Oryctolagus cuniculus: one gene and its partners. The protein of the gene in region 1 interacts with the protein of each later gene in a pairwise test. Links are inferred from orthologs where the notes say so. Each region holds a gene or a part of one and is shown in the gene's direction. Other genes may lie near its edges. The genes, in order: C2H4orf19, EIF3E and PDCD10.

Evidence for each region.
Region 2: the proteins of C2H4orf19 (region 1) and EIF3E interact in binary tests that used the Homo sapiens proteins (3 or more experiments, as listed by UniProt). The two-hybrid records come from large-scale screens. The link is inferred for Oryctolagus cuniculus from reciprocal best matches to the Homo sapiens genes PGCKA1 and EIF3E.
Region 3: the proteins of C2H4orf19 (region 1) and PDCD10 interact in binary tests that used the Homo sapiens proteins (3 or more experiments, as listed by UniProt). The two-hybrid records come from large-scale screens. The link is inferred for Oryctolagus cuniculus from reciprocal best matches to the Homo sapiens genes PGCKA1 and PDCD10.

What each region holds. Positions count from the first base shown.
Region 1 is NC_091433.1:31,582,287-31,589,049, forward strand, and holds the start of C2H4orf19 (uncharacterized protein C4orf19 homolog), read left to right. Parts: upstream 1-2,280; 5' UTR 2,281-2,430; intron 2,431-6,763. UniProt on the Homo sapiens protein: Acts as a tumor suppressor. Acts as a tumor suppressor for colorectal cancer cell proliferation by targeting KEAP1/USP17/ELK1/CDK6 axis.
Region 2 is NC_091437.1:133,432,122-133,438,784, reverse strand, and holds part of EIF3E (eukaryotic translation initiation factor 3 subunit E), read left to right. Parts: intron 1-899; coding exon 900-1,026; intron 1,027-2,134; coding exon 2,135-2,236; intron 2,237-3,900; coding exon 3,901-4,010; intron 4,011-6,663. UniProt on the Homo sapiens protein: Component of the eukaryotic translation initiation factor 3 (eIF-3) complex, which is required for several steps in the initiation of protein synthesis.
Region 3 is NC_091435.1:112,786,098-112,792,860, forward strand, and holds the start of PDCD10 (programmed cell death protein 10), read left to right. Parts: upstream 1-3,540; 5' UTR 3,541-3,720; intron 3,721-3,931; exon of another isoform or gene 3,932-4,490; intron 4,491-6,763. UniProt on the Homo sapiens protein: Promotes cell proliferation. Modulates apoptotic pathways. Increases mitogen-activated protein kinase activity and STK26 activity. Important for cell migration, and for normal structure and assembly of the Golgi complex.

The sequences.
Region 1 (6,763 bases):
ATTGATAAAAGGCTGTTAGTAAAAGCAGAAGCCAGAAGCTGAGGATACACTGCTGAGGACCAATTTATTCCACGTGGGCATCAAAAAGGACAAGAGTAAGAGGTTGAAGAATAAGTGGGAACAGGCATCAATGTCAGAAAGGCATTTCAGGTAAAGGAAGCCACATGAGCAGAAATGGAGAGTTGAAGCACATTTTAGATGACATAATGCTATGTTGGGAATTTGGGCTTCATTAAGAAGTCAATAGGGAGCTATGAAAAGAGTTTTGGGAAGGGAATGGCCTGGTTGGAATGGCATTTTAGAATGGCTCAGGCAGTACTTTATCAGATTAGACACGGAAGAGACCTGAAGCTGGAAGACCACTACACATTATTGCAGTGATCGAAGGCAGAAAGTATTTGAACTTGATGTTGGGACATTAACAATGAGAATGTAAGAGGAGAGACACTGTGGGGGAGGGATGTTCAGGGCTTACTGGTGGAGGCAGATGAAGGAGAAGGAAAACCCAAATCCAGTTCCCGTTGAAATTGGGTAGATGGTAGAGTCACAAACGTCAAATGAATAGAAGATCAAAGTGTCAGAAACCATGAATAAACTCTAACCTAAAGAGTTTAAGGGCAAGATATCCATGCAGACAACTGGAATTATGCTGCCGATCCCATGGAGGAATATGAGAAAGAATCCAAAAAGCTATCTCTTTCAGGAACCCTTAATCACAATGTCTAAACGTGGTGTGGAATTCTCTTTGGATATAATGTAAGCTGTTACCATAAACTTAATTTTTATTCTTTTTGTAGAACAATTTCACACATTTGAAACTAGATTTTTAACCCCACTGAAATAAATTGGGTTTCCTATCTTCTAAGACCCATGATCTGGGAATAACTTATATACCAATATAAACATGAACACTCTTTGAAAATTAATTGTATTTTCACTCCAGCATGCATCATCAGAGTTTTCTGTTTTTTTATGAGCTTCACCCCACCCTGGAGTGTCTGCTGGGCATCCAACTGATTTGTACAAAATGCACATTACATTTTGTACAGACACGTGGAAAGCTTGGTTTCCGTGTACCAATGTGACAGGCTGTCTGACACTGACAAATATCAACAGTACCTCTGACTTTATCCCAGCTTTTAACAGATGAGGGTAACTTGGGCACCTGCGTACGCAGGCTCAGAGCACTGGTTCCAAAACTAGAATGTGTGTCACTTGTTAAAACATTTTTCAACCTTCCTGTCCCCCCCACTATTTCTGAATCAGTATATCTGGGATGGAGCCCAAGAATATTCTTTTTTACCGAATTCCCTTAGAAGACACTAATTCTGCTAGTGTAAGACCACACTTTAGAACTCAAATACAAATCTTTTTTGGACAAAATAACCTAACTGATAAAGATACCAATATCCCATAGACATTATTAAAATCTTGTCTAGAAATTGGACACAAGCATTACTTAGGGTAACAAAAGGATTTTTTAAGATCAGAAAATGGCATAAAATAATATATAACTTCCCTCGCATATCTGCCATTTTATGTGGCACAAGCCGTGTGAAAGTAGCTGGTGTAACCAAAGGGTAGTGGGTCCACGTTCCAAAGGTTCCCGGTGCTGTGGTCTCTCCGAGTGCTGCTCTCCCAGCCCTCCCAGGATGAGCAGAGGGGAAAGGGAGAAGAAGGGAAGCTAGGTGGCGCAGCGGATTAGCGCATCTCGCTGGCAAGTCCAGTAATTTGTTTTGGAGCGCAGTTGAAAAAGTCGTCCCAATCGCTGATGGTATTTTTCCAGACAGCCTGGATACTTGAAGGCTGGCAGTAACTACGGGTGGGGAGCTCGGCAGGTTGGATGGAGAGCTGCAACCAAAGTCCTTTCACCCCAGCAAAAGACAGAGAAGGGAAGGGATGTATGGGGAACCACGGTTTCCCTGAACCCCGGCTCCTAAAGGCAGGCGACAGGGCACGCAGCGGGTCCCAGCAGCTCAGATCAATGCCGAGGGGGAAGTAGGAAAAACGCAAGCGCACAGGGAAGAGGCGCACATTGGCCGGACGGTGCGTTTATTTTTCTCCCCCACTTAAGCCGCGATCCTCGGACACTGCCTTCTCCCTACAGCACGACAGAAAAAGCAGGTCCCCCACCAGTTTCCCAGCACGGCGGGCCCTTGGCGGCCTGCGCCCCAGAGGTCGGTGCTCAGTGCGCCCCGAAGAGCCAGCGCCGCACGCCCCGCTGCGGGGCGCGCAGGTAAAGGGTTACGCGTGCCGCCGGGGCTCGCCCGCGGGCCGGCCACGTGACGCGGGGGCCCAATGACGGCGCCGGGGCGGCCCGGGCTAGCGCCGCGGGCTCCGGGCGCTCCTCAGCCGCCCGCGTTTCCCCGCGCTGCTGTCCGAGGTCGGCGAAGCCATGGGCGCCGCGACCCCGCCGCCGCCCGGCCCCAGGTAGGGACGGTCCCACGCCGTGCGCGTGGTGCCCGCCGCGGGAGGAGAAGGGCGGGACTGCCGCGGAACTTGGCTTTGGGGCACGACGACCCTGATTTCTCTCGCGGGTCGCTCTTACTTCTGCATTTCCCTTTGCTCTGCAGTAGTGATAATTCATGACTAACACATAAGAGGGGAGAGGCGGTTCTGACTGGATGAGTTGGACCAAAGTCGCGCCATTCAACAAAGGCGCCGTCAGAGAAGCGAATCGGGGCGCGGGAGAGGAAGACTTTTACAAATTCTCCAAACCAAAGAGCTAGACGTTCGGGGGGCTTGGCTCTAGCTGGTTGTGTGGGGACTCTTACTGTTTTTCTTTTAAATCCCCCAACTAATGAACTTTGGTGGTGCATAAGAACTTGAACTGGAAAACTGAGAGACATTGTCTCGTGTTTCTGTGTCCGTCAACACCGCCCCCCCCCCTTAAGCATCTGAATGTCTTGAATAAAACGGAAATGGAAGGTGACCGCCGCAGTTTCTTTGAAATGTCCTTGGGTCGCAGGATTTGCCTCCCCAGCTCACACCGCCAGGTGCGGGCGCCCTCGGGGGCAGAGCTGGAGGGAAGGGAGGCTGTGCTGAGCGGCGCAGAGCGTGCCAGGTGCGCGCAGTTAGGCGGTCACTAAATATTTAGTAATTAGGCAAGCATCTCCCAGGTCGATTGACCTTGCTAACCCTGATGAGGTGAGATTTGCACAGAGGGCCACTGAAGAATTTTTCCAGTGACGGGAGGAAGAAATCAATTTTTTTTCCCTCTCGCACCATAATGGACCTTGAAAAGAAAACAGAAAACCCTTCCTGTGTGACTTAGCACGGTTTGTTTTCCATCACAGAGTAGGTGTTTATCCTGTGACTTTGGAGCAAGTCAGGTCTTCTATGAGGTGGCTCAAATCATTTTTCAAAAATATATGGCGGTTGTTTTCTTCCTTGTCACTGTCTGGGGGAGAGAATTCCTGATGGTGCTTCTCACCCTAGCTGCTGGGAGTCCTCAGTGGTTGCAACCAAGCTGCTGTGAGGAGTAATCGCCAGGGCAGAGAACTGAATGAGAAAGTCAATGAAAGTGGGCCTGTTTTTACTGATGATACATTCCTTACTGGCTGCTCCCCCTCCGTTGAATCCTCCAGTGAATGCTCATTTAACAGGACAACCCAGGTGTTACAGCCTTGTGACTCTTAAATACCAGTGCCTAGAGATCAGCTTTCTGGTTCCTTCTGTGAAAACACTGCCGCTGAAACAGTCGTTCGAAGCTCTAACAGTAAAGTTCTTGGGTGACTCGCTTTTCTCTCCAATGTGAAGATTTCCTTAAGAGCAAGCTGCTTTAGACACTGAGAAGAGGGACAGATGCTGCAGGCAGGGCAGGGTGTGCGGCTTACCTCTCTTCTCTGCTTTCTGTTTGTCCCTCCTCTGATCCTGCTTTCCCTTCGCTCAGCAAGTCATGGCGTGTGCCCCAGGGCCAGGTCCTGAAGACTGAAATAGTGAGTGATAGGACCGATTTTAACCATGCTCCCAAGAGCTTTCGCACTACAAAATTTAAAACAAAACAACAACAAAAAAAAACAACAACTTGCCTATCACCTGAAAACTTTCCATCCTCCTAAAAATGGAGTGATTTCCCAGCTGGTGCCTCTCTCAGCCTGGAAACCCAACCTGGCCAAGCTCTGGTCAGGATCTAGTCCCAGGCCAAAGGCAGAGTGGGTGCTGCAGTCCTTGCTCTCAGAACTGCTCTGCCCTGGTGCCCCGGGAGCTCATGGACTGACTGAGCTTCTTAAGGACTAGCCTCTCGGTAGCTGGGTTTCCACTCCCTGGACCGAGTTTCAAATTCCCTAGTTACATACCTTTTCCAGTAACCCTGAATCTAACTCTTTTGGGGTCTTGGTTAAATTGTATCAAAAAAAAAAAAAAAAAAAAACAGCCCCCGCCTCCTGTTAGTTGTCATTCATTCTGTTCTGCTCACTGCACTTGATTGGTCCCAGATAGACTTCCTAGGTATCTAGAAAAGAAAAACTGGGAAGAGTTGATTGGTTCATCCTAGACTCATTTGTGGGTCAGAATGGTCACCCAGTTGTAGCTTTTCTTAATGCCTGCTCTTACCTGGAGTCATCCTGCCTCCCTAGTTGTAAACCTTTCTTACTCTGGTTATGCCTTGAATGCTTCTTAAGAGGATAAAGTGAAGATTAAATCTTTCGTTTTCTCACACCGTTTTCACCGCTGAATGTCATGGCCCAACAAGGGTTGGGATCTTCAGAAGCAAGATGATCCTATCCTAAAACACCATACTGATGAGTGTGCATGATGAGAAGCAGATCATTGAAAACAGTGTTGTCAGGCATGCTGGAAAGGGACGCTCCCGGGCTACAGTGACCATTGCTCACATAAGACGTGTCTCAGACTATACTGTGAGCACTGAACTCTGTTCTGTTCAGTGTACAAGTGGCTCTCCAAAATTAAACCCTCATCTGGCCTTGGGAAGAAGGTATGTAGACCTAGAGTCAACAGGGAGTGTGCCAGGTGCTGGGGACATTGGCCCTGTCTTCAGGGATCTTACAGTCTCAGACAAGGCCTTTGAAGGATTTTAGCAGAGCACATTTTTGTTTTAGACAGTTCATTCTGCGCACAATGAGAATGGAATGAGGAAGATGCAAACAAAACCAAAGGCAGCTGCTGCAAAAATCCATGTGAGAGGCAAACATTTGGCCTAGCAGTTAAGATATTCACATCCCTTGGGGTGCACCCACTACACTGTGGCATACTGGCTAAACCTCCACCTGCAGTGTTGACATCCCATATGGTGCCAGTTCTAGTCCCAGCTGCTCTTCTGATCCAGCTCTCTGCTATGGCCTAGCAGAGCAGTACAAGATGGCCTAAGTTCTTGGGCCCCTGTACCTGCATAGGAGACCCAGAAGAAGTCCTGGCTTTGGATCAGCTCAGCTCTGGCCATCACAGCCATCTGGGGAGTGAACCAGCGGATGGAAGACCTCTCTCTCTGTCTCTGCCTCTCTGTGACTATATCTCTCAAGTAAATAAATCTGAAAAAAAAAAAAAAAAAAAAAAAAAAAACTGGCGCCGCGGCTCACTAGGCTAATCCTCCACCTGCGGCGCCAGTACCTCAGGTTCTAGTCCCGGTTGAGGTGCCAGATTCTATCCCGGTTGCTCCTCTTCCAGTCCAGCTCTCTGCTGTGGCCCAAGAGGACAGCGGAGGATGGCCCAAGTCCTTGGGTCCCTGCACCCACATGGGGGACTGGGAAGAAGTATCCGGCTCCTGGCTTTAGATTGGCGCAGCGCTGGCCATAGTGGCCATTAGGAGAGTGAGCCAATGGAAGGAAGACCTTTCTCTCTGTCTCTCTCTCTCACTGTCTATCTCTCTCTTTCTCTCTCACTGTCTAACTCTGCCTGGCAAAAAATAATAAAAAGAAAAAAAAGGAAAAGAAATGGTTAGATGACTGAGTCTGTCTTAATCTGCATGACATTTCAAACTACATTTTTACCAGGTAGATAAACATAAGCCACGCTTCCCTGCAATGCTCTTCCTGCTGGCTATTATAACTCTGGAGCCCCAGTTAGTTTTTCATCACAGAAAAGAGGTTTTTGGTAAAGAATGAGCCAATTTTATTTGCATTATCAACAGCCTTTCTGTAGACTTAAATATACACATTTGAAAATACAGTTAAACTGTTGACTTCATATTGTGTGCACCTTATCTGCTGTAACTTAACTCTTGGAAGTAAAAATACCCTGACCTTGGGTTGGTTAACATCATAAGTGGACAAAAGAACAGCCTTTTCCCCCACCAAAAGTTGACCAAAAACTGGCCTGTTGTATGTCTCAGAAGACTGAATTATGTTTTTAGGAGATTTGGTGGTGTGTGAGAGGCGCATATGCCTGTGAGAGCAGATAGTTCACCCCAATCGTTCACCTATTGCCCATACCTAGCTTTTTAGTGTAGTGTGTATTTGGATACAGTTTTATATTTTTAATTATTCGTTAGACCTAGAGTGGACCTGTACACACTAGAGTCTTGAATTCTCTTAATCTGTGTTAATCCTCCCCCCACTTTGAATTGAGTACTTATCTTGATCATTAATGTGTGATAAATGCATATTGATTCTTTATACCTGTAAAACCATGGCCCTCCCATTTGGTGGTCAGATTGCTAGCAACCTCAGCCATCCTGCATATTTACTACAGCCTAGAAAGAATAAAAGATGCCTACCTGTACTTTCAAGTCATTATTAAGAGGTACTTAAGTTCCCACTGGAACTTAGATGAGATTATTTCATACCTGCTTCCTAAGAGAATGGCT
Region 2 (6,663 bases), on another chromosome or scaffold:
TTATATTTTTGTTGTTACTAGTGTATACTTGTCAGATCAAAACAAAGAGGGAGCAGTAGACTTTGGGTTCTTAAGGCACGGTGGAGTGGGGATTTTTTTTTGGTACTGAGTTAGAATGCCAGGCATTGAACTGACATGCTAGCCATGCTAAAAGAATGCCATATACATTCATATTACCAGACCATAAGTCCTCACCAAAGCATTCTCAGCAGACAAAACAGAAGCTGTCATGAAAATTTAGAAAATTTAAAATGTGATATTGCATCATAGCAGACGTTTCTCACAAAAGTTAATGAAAATGAGGCTTCAACCAAAATAAGTTGGGTTTTTTGTTTGTTTGTTTTGGATTTTTTATTATTTTTGTTGGTACTTGAGGGGCAGAGACAGAGCTAGCTCCCACTCACTAATTTACTTCCTGAATTCCTGCAACCAGGGGCTTGTCTGGAGCCTAACCAGGCTGGGTCCAAAACCAGAGGCCAAGAACTCAAATCGGGTCTCCCATGGGGGTGGCAGGAACCCATTACTTCTGCAATTGCTGTTACCTCTGAGGGTCTACATTGGCAAAATGAAGTAGTCAAGAACTGGAGTCAGCAATTAAAGCCAGGTTCTCTGATGTCAGGCATGGACATCTTAACCACTAAGTTAAACACCCACTCCCAAAGTAAGTTTGACTCATTTTTTTTGTTAGCTGGCATTTTCATCATTTTGTTTCCTGAAGTTAGATTCTGTTTCTGCACTTTCTTGGAGGAAATCCCCTTACAGTGTTTGCAGTCTCAGACTAGTGAAATATTGCAATTTAATGGGCTATACGAGTGTTTCCTTTAATTCACACTGGCTTGTATATCTAGAAAACTAGGGAAGTTATTAAATGTTAGATAACTTTTGTATTTTAACCCTAGGTATCTTAATGCAATTCAGACAATGTGTCCACATATTCTGCGTTATTTGACCACAGCAGTCATAACAAACAAAGATGTTCGAAAACGCCGGCAGGTGCTGAAAGATCTTGTCAAAGTTATTCAACAGGTAAAAATTAATCTTCATTGATTTTTAAACATACCTAATTTTTTTTTTGACAGGCAGAGTGGACAGTGAGAGAGAGAGAGACAGAGAGAAAGATCTTCCTTTGCCATTGGTTCACCCTCCAATGGCCGCTACGGCTGGCACACTGCGCTGATCTGATGGCAGGAGCCAGGTGCTTCTCCTGGTCTCCCATGGGGTGCAGGGCCCAAGCACTTGGGCCATCCTCCACTGCCTTCCCGGGCCACAGCAGAGAGCTGGCCTGGAAGAGGGGCAACCGGGACAGAATCCAGTACCCCGACCGGGACTAGAACCCGGTGTGCCGGCGCTGCAAGGCGGAGGTTTAGCCTTATTGAGCCACGGTGTTGGCCATACCTAATCTTTAGATGTACCCTCTTTATTTTAAAGTAAAACCCCTACTTCTTAAGATAAAAATGTTTTTAGAAAATAGGGAAGTATACATGAAATTTAAAAGATGGATGACCCTCTTGGACATTACTCTCTGTAAGTCTAAAATATACCTATGTTAGATGTGATAGAATGATTATTGCTGTCTACTAGGTGGATACTTAAAATATATTATGTACTTGTGTTACTCTTACTACAGAGTGAAAGAAGATCTGGAGTCTGGAACTGTTCATTGAGGGGTCATTACTTGCCTCATAATTTAATAAGGGTGATCTGTATGGAGAATACAATTAATTGTCTCCAAATTGAGTAACACTACAGCTGATTGATTTTTGGTAAATGCTTCAGCAAGAACCATGGATTGAAAAAAGAACTTAAAATATTAATTTGATCTAAGAATGAATTAAGTACAGAGAAGTCATTACCATTCAGTAGGGTATGGATGTCTTTATATTGGGGAAGTTTATCACTGTTTACTGACTAATGGAGACTTTTGGTATTGGAATTACTCTGGGGAGAATTTAGAGAACTTGATTTGGAAGACATGATCCTGGAATCAGTGCAGAAGCCATTGCTTTGAGATGATAGTAATTTACTAGAAATTAATGGCAACAATAGAGAAAACATGAAAATTGGGATAATCTAAGGACATTGTAATAAGTAATGTTGAAACAGATCTAACTTAACCTTTGACTTAATTTTACAGGAATCTTACACCTATAAAGACCCAATTACAGAATTTGTTGAATGCTTATATGTTAACTTTGACTTTGATGGGGCTCAGAAAAAGCTGAGGGAATGTGAATCAGTGAGTATAAAGTTTTACTTGCAAACTAATACTGTTCTTAATTCTTTTAGCATTATAGAGTTAATCTTGCAGTGTTTTAATTATCATATCAAGTAATTCTATCAAAAATAATTGTGTATTTTAAATAACTCATGGTTTGAGAATTTGTTGCTATAGATAGATTCCTTTTGTTAAGAAGGTTTATTCAAACATTTGGATATACTGTAAATTCACAGGTATATCCTGATTCTATGTCTTACTCTGAATGAGTAAACATAAAATACTTCCTGTGTACTTTAGGGTGATCACTTTGAGTTGCCCATCACAGCTCTTGTTCTCAGTTTGTTTCTTAGGTGGGCTTATCTTGGGAAATGTTCACATGATTATATTTCTCATTTGCTATAAAGCAGATTATTATTGTATTACTAGTGTCCTATTAGCAGAAACTAAAATTCCTTGAAGAAATGTGGAAAAGTTAGATTATGGTTCTTCTGAATCAGATTGTAAGTTTTAAGAAACTAAACTAAGAGCTTAATTGCTAAATTTAATTGCCTTTACCACATTCACACATTACTAGTCATCGGATTCATCTTTTCAATACAAATTTTGCCACAAAATAAGTAAATTTTTTGACAGACTGAGATCTTATTTCTATAAGGGAACAATACGTAAATACACTCAGAGGTGATTTTCAACTACTATACAAAATATAGAAGTAGAAACCAATATTATAGCTTGTGTTACTATAGGCACATGTAACATTTTATTAAAGTAAATATTGGTGTATGTTCATTATGCTTGAGTATCTAGGGCTTATTGTGGAACCAGAAGAGTCAGAGGACATTTGGGTTCTTAAAGTAATCTTTTATAATCGCTTTAAGTAATACTCTGAGCTCAGAAACAGCTCTTAAGGCTTACTTGTCTGGCTGAAAAGCCCATGAGAGCATTTTGGGCATGGAAAGTCAAGACACTATGGCAAAAAATGTTCTCCATGAAGGATCTCTGTGAGTGAAACCCTAGTAGAAAGAAGTGGCCATCAAAGGAGGATGTACTTTTCTCTGAAGGAAGGAGAGAACTTCTACTTTGCTTATGGCTTTGTCTAAATATTGACAGAGATTGTAGATTCCATACCCTTGGCAGCTCATGTCAAGAGCCTCGGGTGGTCACTGACATCATGCATAAGAGTGTTAATTGTTAAATTAACAACAGGAGTCATATATAAGAGTGTTAATTGTTAAAATAACAAGCAACAGGAATCACTGTGCACTAACTCCCCTTGCAGCCTCTGTCTTCAGTGAGTTGTATTATGAGAATGTGTGCGTGTGTGTGTAAATTGTTGAAATCTTAGTATAGAGTTGATCTTCTCTGTACAAAGTTGATTGAAAATGGATTGTAATTGGGAATGGGAATGGGAGGAGGAGGAGGAGAAGGTATGGGACTGTGGGTGAGAGGGTGTTTATGGTGGGATTATATTCCTAAAATACTTATGAAATTTGTATCCTTAAAAGGTAAAAAAATTAATAAAATAGTCTTTTAGTTATACCATAAATGGAATAGCATTTCCATAAATACATTCCATAAATATATATATTCCATAATGGAATAGTAGCTACAAGTTTTGAGTCAAGTTTTTGAAAATTGCTTGTCAGCATTATTAATTTTTTCTTTTATGTTTCATAACATAGGTGCTTGTGAATGATTTCTTTTTGGTGGCTTGTCTTGAAGATTTCATTGAAAATGCCCGTCTTTTCATATTTGAGACTTTTTGTCGCATCCACCAGTGTATCAGCATTAAGTAAGAAAACCCTGTGTTGATGTGTATTTTCTCTTTTTTAATGTCTTGGAAAGTTACATTTAATAAGATTCCAGTTAATTTTATTTCCATTTGCTTTTAGAAGAAAATAATTTGATAATGGATTACTTTTAGCACCCCTAACTTTTTTTAATTATGAGAAGCTACAGGCTCAGAAATATTTAGCTTGCATGATGTGTGGCACAACATAATTTTTCAAAAAGATAACATAATTGACAGTTACCTAATATTATTAAACCATTACACAGGGAGGAAAGTGAAGTAACCAGTTTTAAAAATGGTTTTCAACAGTTCAAGAGTTAGCCCTTCATAAATCAGAAATTCTGTTGAAAGACTATTACATTTGGCAATCACTTCTGTTAATTGAGTTTGTTTTTATTTAATTACATATTTGAATTCTTATATAGTAAACTGCTGTAACATGCGCTAAAATGTTGAAACACAGAAAAATTATGGTGAATTTTAGTTGAAATTCTCTCTATTGTGTAAAAAGTTATTGGGGAAAGTTGTGAAATGTACATAACCTATTAGAAAGTAATTTTACGTATTAGAATTTGAAAAATAGCCAGTGCCCTTTGGCCACAGATGAAGCCAAACATAATTTTTTTTTAAACTTAGCTACTTTAATGTTTGCCTCTAAGGAATTGTGTAGACCAGATTCTTTTTCTTTAATGCCATTTGTTTTTTGCTTGAAGGATCCATACTTTGCTAATTTTATTGGATTGTCACTGAAGTGGTTATCCAGGGTTAGAAGTATAGGATGATTGTGGGTTTTTTTCTGTGGTAACTGAATCCTTAACATCAGTTTTATTACTACTTTTCTCTAACTTGCAGACAATTTTTAAATCTTACTCTTTTAAAGAATACATTCAAATTCTTAGTATGTAGTTTTTTGTGAAATAGAGGTAGGTGCATCATATGTGGGGCGCTGATTTAGTTTTATTGGTACTTTTCTCTAGTTTGGAGACAACTTAAAAATCTTACTTTCTTAAAGAATACATTCAGACTACTAATAGGTGCATCATATGTGGGGTGCTAGTGGACAGTTGATAACTGAATTCTTGCATTGTTCTTTGTTTCTGAAATTTATGACTAGGGTTGTGAAATAGGGCTGTTAGTGTTTTGATTTCCCCATTTCTGGTTAGACTGTGGTCACTTGGGTGGTGTTTTTGTTTTGTTTTATTTTGGTTTTTTTTTGTCCAGAACTTTACCTCTATAGTGAGCCTTTTGAAAACTGACTCTTGTTTTTGTAATTTTAATACCTAGCATACTAGCTTTCTAGCATATAGCATGCTTTGTATAGTGTAGTACAGATATAGTATAAATATTTGTAAAATGAGTCAATTTCTCCTGTCCTTTGTATTAGTAAACATGCATATTTGTCCTTGGTATCGCTTTCTTTAGTTTTCACTTCTGTAGTACCACAAATAAGATTTGTTCTAATACTGGCTTTTTCTCTTTATTGAATCTTACTTTTTTCCTTGGGACTCAGTTTATGATATTTGTTAATTTTTAAATTTTATTTATTGGAAAAGCAGATAGAGAGCTCCTGTCTCTGTTTCACTCCCCAAACGCCTACAGCAGCCAGTAGTGGTCCAGGCTGATGCCAGGAGCCCAGAACTCGATGCCAGTCTCCAGTATGGGTGGCAAGGACCCAAGTACTTGAGCCATCCCCTGCTCCCTGCCAGCATGCACATTAGCAGGAAGCTGGAATCAGAAGCAGAGCTGAGATTTGACCCCAAACATTCCATTTTGGGATCTGGGCATCCCAAGCAGCTTTTTAACCACTTAACTACATCAAATAAATGCTCACTCTTTTTATAATGTTTAACTGTAAAATTACTTGTTCTGCATACTCACATGATATATACAGTTCTAGAAGGTAATAAATGGACTGGGAATGTTTATGTAACCTTTCATATGACATTATCATTAGATAAGAAATTTTCAAATTTATCTTGATGTAGGGTTTTGTTTTTTCTTTGATTGGACCACAGAGAATTCACTAAACTACTTTAAGATTAAATTTCTAGTGCCTTTGCAAAGTCCAGAAATCTTTTTATTCAAATGATAGAATTCTAGCCGGCGCCGCGGCTCACTAGGCTAATCCTCCGCCTTGCAGCGCCAGCACACCGAGTTCTAGTCCCGGTCAGGGCGCCGGATTCTGTCCCGGTTGCCCCTCTTCCAGGCCAGCTCTCTGCTGTGGCCAGGGAGTGCAGTGGAGGATGGCCCAAGTGCTTGGGCCCTGCACCCCATGGGAGACCAGGATAGGTACCTGGCTCCTGCCATCAGATCAGTGCGGTGCGCCAGCTGTGGCGGCCATTGGAGGGTGAACAACAGCAAAGGAAGACCTTTCTCTCTGTCCCTCTCTCTCTCACTGTCCACTCTGCCTGTCCCAAAAAAAAAAAAAAAATGATAGAATTCTTTTCTCTTAGGTTTTTTATACTTTGGGAAGGGTAGTTTTGGGATATTTTACTGACTTAGGTAATTGAGAATACATAAATTCATTTCTGTTCTTTTAAAATTAGGCCAGAATTTTTTGAGCTAGAAGAAATTAGAAAGTTTCTAATCTAGCAACATAGAACTGTTAAATCATCTGGAGTAGGACTTCCCATAGAATTCTCTGCAGTAATGG
Region 3 (6,763 bases), on another chromosome or scaffold:
AAAAGGGCATGGAATCCCTCATAGGCATTTAACAAAAAGTATCACATCTCTTTTCATTCTTGCTGAGGGTATGTTTCTCAGCTTTCTTCACGTCTATCCTCCTGTCTCTCCTCACCAAAACCCTTAGAATTTGACCACTTAGAGCTTGTTCTTTTATGCTGCATGCATCAGTGAATCCTCCTGTTAGAAACCTATGCTACTCAATTATTTTTACTCAATAAGCTTTGAGTCAGAATTTTAAATTGAAAGATGAATCCAAGATATACTGTAATTTGAAATTAACCAAGTTTTGGATAAAGAATAACATCAGAGCAATTTGCATTCAAGAGAGACATTCTGTACTCTGTGGCTTTTCCTTCTCTACATATCATATATTCACTGATAGACAAATGTAGCAGCAAAAATCAAGAAAATATGTAAATATGCTTTTAACATAGGTATTATTTTATATATACTTATAAAGTGATATATAGTGAACTTCTCAACATCAATCAAGAAAAGTTGAAGATGGAATGTGAATATCAATTAAGATCAGTCAAGAGTTCAAGGTAATAAACAAATGTCTAAGCACCATACACTGCTAATGTTTTTCTCTCACATAAAAGCATGATCTTCTTACTCTCAAAAGATACAACAACCCAATTTCTCTAAATGACACAATAAAAAGGATCAAAACCTTGGAAAAACGTGAAAAATTCAGTACCTTAATACTACAAACTCATCCCTTTCTGATGAGATTCTTATCTTTTTATATACCTCAGAGCAGAAGACCTGTAAAGAGTTGGGTTTCAAAGTATATCTGAATTTCAACCTTTGTGATACTTATTTTCTATTCATATGCTTGGTTATTGTCAACAAAACTCTTGCAAAAATATCTTTTGACAAAGGCTTTGTAAGAATTCCGTTGCCAGTATAAAATGAATTATCATTACTATTACTAATACATGAGAGAAATAACCTGGCTACAGTAAATATTGAGTTTCATAAAATGAATTAGTAGTACAGACTACAAGAGAATAGAAGATTCTGATTCAGGACAATCCACTTAATCACAAATAACAAGGACAAATGTGATCTTTTTCCAAGCCTCACTAAACCCTAGTACCCAGTTTTTCCTACCAAAATAATTTTACAGAGTCATAGCAGCTATGTGGATTAATAAGATTCTCCAATGGTGTAGCAAAGATAAAAATCTGACTCTTACCATGGCTGCTAATTTTAGTGGCTACAGTGGCTTTTTCATTCTCCTAAGCTCTTTGTTGCTGCTAATACTTACCTGATCAGCTCCGGGTCAATCTAAGAGCAGCTATTTTGCTAAGATTTGTCTGTCTCCATAGTTCTGCAGTGTGAGTGTGGGAAAGATGGAGTATGTATATACTGGTAAGTCACTTAAGCTTTTCAGTAGTAGCACTCAGTAGGACTGAACTTTAAACAGAGAATTCCTTTGAGCCATTTCTTTTCAAAAACAAATGTGTGCAGTACAAAAATAAAATTGAAAATCCTAGGTAAATCAGGAAAACTGGAAAATAAAAGATAATTACTCCATTTTATTGACCCTAGTTCAAAAAAACCTAGATGAAAGTATTCCCAGACTGAAATATACAACTATCACAGTAAAGGCATTTCAGAACAAAATGTGCTGCAATACCCTACTATGATTAAAAGCCATGTAATCTGGGGAACTCTGTAACAAAAAGAAAATGAAAAATGAACTCACCAGATAGATCCTACTACTTTTCTAAAGAGAAAAGCCTGCAATTTTTGTCAGTTACACAAAGCTAGATGCACCTTTTATCTTCAGCATATTTCCATCTACACCATATTTCCACCCATAAGTACTATTATAATTACACTCAAAGAAATATACACATGGCTTAATTCTGAGAATAAACTCTTATTTTATGATGTTTTTAACCGGAACCCATCATAATTCATACAAAGGGTAAACATTTAGCACGTACGCACTAAACACAGAAAAGATCCTCAGACAGCTTTCCTTGTCCTCTTGTTTTCTGAAATGTACACATATCACTGGACACAAATGAGCGAATAAGGAGCAGCAATGATGTACACCATATGTTCCCACTGTAGGCTGAGTCCAGGTCTTTGTTCCAATATTCCAGAGTCGCTGGAAGGAAAGCTAAGTGCCCATCCACTAAAACACATTTTTACACTATTACTGGCAAAAGTTATACTTCCCACAGGTTCAGGGAGCACCCATCCTATCCCGCTGTTCCTGACTGCATTAGCTTAATACAGATCTCGGAATTCTACGGACCTGCATTACAACCACCTTGGATAACAGGTCCGCAGCGGACAATCTCAGCATCCAACGTACCCGCAGACGCTGAAGAAGAACGCAAAGTTATTTTCTAGGGATACAGTTCGGAAGTAATTCTGTATCAACGACGAGACGTTTGCTTTTCATCAGCTACGTACCGATCCAGAATACCGTCCACCCGGTCCTCAATCAGTAGGGGTTCCCTCAATCTTGAGACCTCCCACAACAGTTTGAATCGTGCAACTCAAACCAAAAACACCAACCACACCCTTTATACCCAGGGTCAAGCGACCTTTCTTTCTTTTTTTTTTTTTTTTCCTCCTCAAAGTCCAAAAATGTGCATCTTTCACCCGAAAGGGTTTGCCCCGGTTTTTCCAGCCGAAGGCAGACGGTCTGAGCTGTGCCCTGCTGCAACTGCTGTGCAAAGACGCTTCCTCCCGGGCAGTGTGCGGACGCCCCGGAAAACGCGCCCACGCTTACCTCCCGCACACCTGCCACCCTCGGCGGACGGCTGGAGCTGAGGCTCGAAGGGACTGCACTCCGCTCAGCTCCCGCTCCTGCTCGGGTCTCTCCCGGGAAACTACGGTCCAGGCTGCGCCTTCGGCTTCCACCGGGACCCAAGCTCCGCCTCTCCCTCCTCCAGTTGGCGAACTGGGCAGCTGTTGCTCCTCCCCCTGCTGTTCCTGCTGCTGCCGCCCGGGTCCCTGCCCGCTCCCTGCACTTTGGAAGCTGCTCCAGCCGCTTCCCTCGTACCGGGGGTCCCCCTTTCCTCCCACCCTCTCCCCGCTCTCACACCTGGACTTGTTCCCTTGCCGCGCCCTGGCGCCTCCGCAGGTAGCCCAGGCTCAGCCCATCGCTCCCCAACCTGCGGGTCTGGGGCTTGGCGGAGCTGCTTATCCCGGCCGCGGAGCGTCCCCGCACTCCCTGCACTCCAGGCTCCCTCTCTGCCCGCGCTGCAGACCCATTCCACCGGCCCCACGTTCCCTACCTCGGGCCCCCCCACCCGCTTCCGTCTTCTCCTCCGGCAGCCCGCCCCCTCCTTGGGTGAGGCGCCTACGGGGCCGACCCTGCACCCTGATTGGCGCAGGTGAGAGCCGGCCCCGCCCTTCCTCCCCTAGCCTTGCACCCTCTCTCTCCCTCTCACCTCCTCCCGCAAAGGCCGGGAACTCTCCTACTATTGGCTACGAGTGTCCCCACCCATCGCCTTAGGCTCTGCCGTATGGCCTGCCGGGAAGTGTAGTCCTAGGAGCGCAGGAATTGCAGACGACGCCGGCGAGCGAGACTACGAGTCCCCATAGGCCACTGCGCCTCTCCGGCTGGGCAGGATTCCGGACAACGCCTGGTTCCTCTCGGGTCCTTCCGGCGTCGCCGGAGTGAATTGATCCGGGAGTTGAAGAGGGCTCCAAAGGTGGGAAGTGAAGTCAGTGCCTCAGTTGCCGGTAAGGTGCGGGTGTTCTGCCCCTATCCCCGTGTCTCCGCGCGCGGTGGAAGAGGTCTGGGGTCACACAGGGGCCGGGGCTGAGGCACTCGGGCTTGGTACTGGCTGGCGGAGCGGACGGGGCTGGGAGCGGGGCCCTATGGGCGTAAGCGAGGTTACCCTACGCGAGTGGCGTAAAGCGGGTTTGTAAATGCCGCCTGCCCGCCCCGCTCGGGCCTGGACGCCTCCAGGAAGTGTGCTCTAGGTGGGGGCGGAGGGGAAGGGCGAGGTTGGCCTCTGGTTCCCCCCGAGAGGAGAGAGGGCGGATGTGCCTGGGGTGGGGTCCTCCGAAGGTGTGGCTTGGGGCGGGAGAGGTAAGGCTGCTGTTTCCCCCTTGCTTCGTAAGTGTGGCTGGGGAAGGAGGGGTTGCTTGGAAGTCTTCGCTCCGGGGTGACTGGGGTTATGCCCTTTGAAGGAAAAGGAGAACGGAGTAGGAAGAGTCAGATGTTGACAGATCGGCGGATTCTGAGTGTTTTGAGATGGGGTCCCTGAGCAGAACCGCTCGACCCTGTTGAGGGTGTGATACCCAAGATAGGTTTGTTTACGGCTGGAACTGCTTTCGAAGAGCTTTCCCGTCAGGATGCTGTTGAAGAAATTGAGGGAGTAAATGACGTGCCCAAGGTCACACAGGCAGGGACTTGGTCCTGAACAGGACAGAGATGCCGGCGGAGTCACAAAGTGCGGAGACGGGCCGTGTTTCTTGAGGAAGGTGGAGGAAGTGACACAGTAATGGTATTTTATGGATTTCTAAGAAGCTATGAGTGATTGAAGGGTGACTTTTTTTTCCCTCTCTCTCTCTCTCTCTTTTTTTTTTTTCTAAACTGGGGTGAAATTCCTCACTGAAGCACTTTCTCTGACCTTTTTGAAAAATAAAAAGGATCAGTATCAGTTACGTATTTTGTCCTTTATTGGGGCTATATTAACGATCGACTTCTCCCACAGTCCATTTTTAAAAGTAGATAGTGAAATAGGAGAAAGTCATTTAAACAGTGTATTCCATCCTTACTGTGAAAAGGATATATTCCTTTCCCTTCCTGCCTTAGGTGGTTTTTCCACTCTCATGTTGTAAAACTGAGAACAGTGGGGATGGAATTCTTTAACAAAACTTACTGTGCACTTTTTTTTTGTTTCAAATAATGCAACATTAAGGAGAGTTTAGTGTGCTCATTACTAGAAAAGAAGATAACATTGCATTTCTTGGAGGTAACATATTTTTGTGATTCATTTGCTTCTCCCCTCTTTGATTCTGTGTGTGTGTGTAAATAAAAGAATGAGGCTCTTACATATTTTAATTTTCTCAGCATCATCTGTGACTTTTTAAATTTTTTTAAAGATTTATTTTTATTTATTTGAAAGAATTACACAGAGAGGTAGAGACAGAGAGAGAGGTCTTCCATCCAACAGTTCACTCCCCAGATGGCCACAACCGCTGGAGCTGTGCTGATCTGAAGCCAGGAGCTTCCTTCAGGTCTCCCACGTGGGTGTAGGGGCCCAAGGACTTGGGCCATCTTCTACTGCTATCCCAGGCCATAGCAGAGAGCTGGATTAGAAGTGGAGCAGCTGGAACCAGAACTGGCACCCGTATGGGCTGCTGGCGCTTCAGGCCAGGGCTTTAATCTGCAGCGCTACAGTGCCAGCCCCTATCTGTGACTTTTAATTCATTCTTAGTTTGTATTAAAGAATGGAAAAGCAGGACACATTTCATATGGAGTAGAAACTAATGCACCTCTCCCAGTCTTATCTCCTGTAATTGTTACGACCCAGGACAGCTCCTCAGTATTAATACTGAATAGTTTTTTTTTTTTAATAGAAATGTGGGAATATGTTCATTGATGTCAGGATTTTTTCACATTAAGTTTATATTCATAAATAATCTATTTGCAGTTGGCAATCATCTGTCATGGTTTATTGTTATCTAAGTTGACCATTGAAATACATTGTATTTTGAACACACTATAAATATTAATATTAAATGTGTGTAATTTTTAAATGCAGCAGTATTTTCTAGGATCAAATGTATCATATTCCCATATTATGGAAGTTAAGATGGTCTGGAAATTGATACAACTTTAAAATGGAAGGAGAGGTATGATAGTATAGAATCAAGTGAAATCGAGAATAATAAGCACCATAAGCAAAATAGTGCACCTGTAAGGAAGAGTCAACCAAACAGGTGGAAAATTGTGTGGAGTTAACTGGCTTTGTGTCAAATTAGAAAGGTGAAGTAGTTTAAGTAGACCATAGATGCATTAGTAAGTGGTGGTAAGCAAGAATGTTAATACATTTTCTAGATGGCAGTGTAAATATTTGCTTTTGTTGGGCACGGTGTGAAATGAGTTCTGACTTTTGGCATGCAGCTGTGTGGTTATGAAAAGAGTTTTTGAACTAGAGAAATTTTGGAAATAAGTGAAGTTAATATAATCTACTTGTTCAGCATATATCAGTTTTTGTTCTTGGTTCAGTTTACCATGAATTTTTCTTTATCTCTGAGATTCATTTCAGTTTTGATATTTCACCTCTGCTGGAATGTCATTGGAATGTTTCTCTTACATTTATCATCTTCCGGCCACATGCTTGAGTACAGTGATCATTTGCATATTGGATAATTAAGAGAGTTCACAGAGTGATGTGTGCATCTGTGTGCACTTTACTGTTATCCACATTTGTTCTCATTTTGGGGTTTACAAATAGAAGAAGAGAGGCCATGTTGTATTTATCACTGTAGTCTCAGTAGATGGCATAGGTTGAGTGCCTTTTTAAAAAGACTGAAGAGATTCAGTTGGGTTTACTTGCTCAAGGTCATGTAGCTGGTAACTGGTGGGAACAAGGCATGGGTAATCTGGATCTTCTAACTGCATCTTTAATATTATGGAATAGGACTTAGTTTCTGAGATTATTTCCTTTTGGTGAGAAAACACATAACGTGACTTAAATGTTCAAAGGTTATAACCCTTTTGACTCTTATTTACTGTTGACAATATGCTTTGATTTCCAGCCTTTCTCAT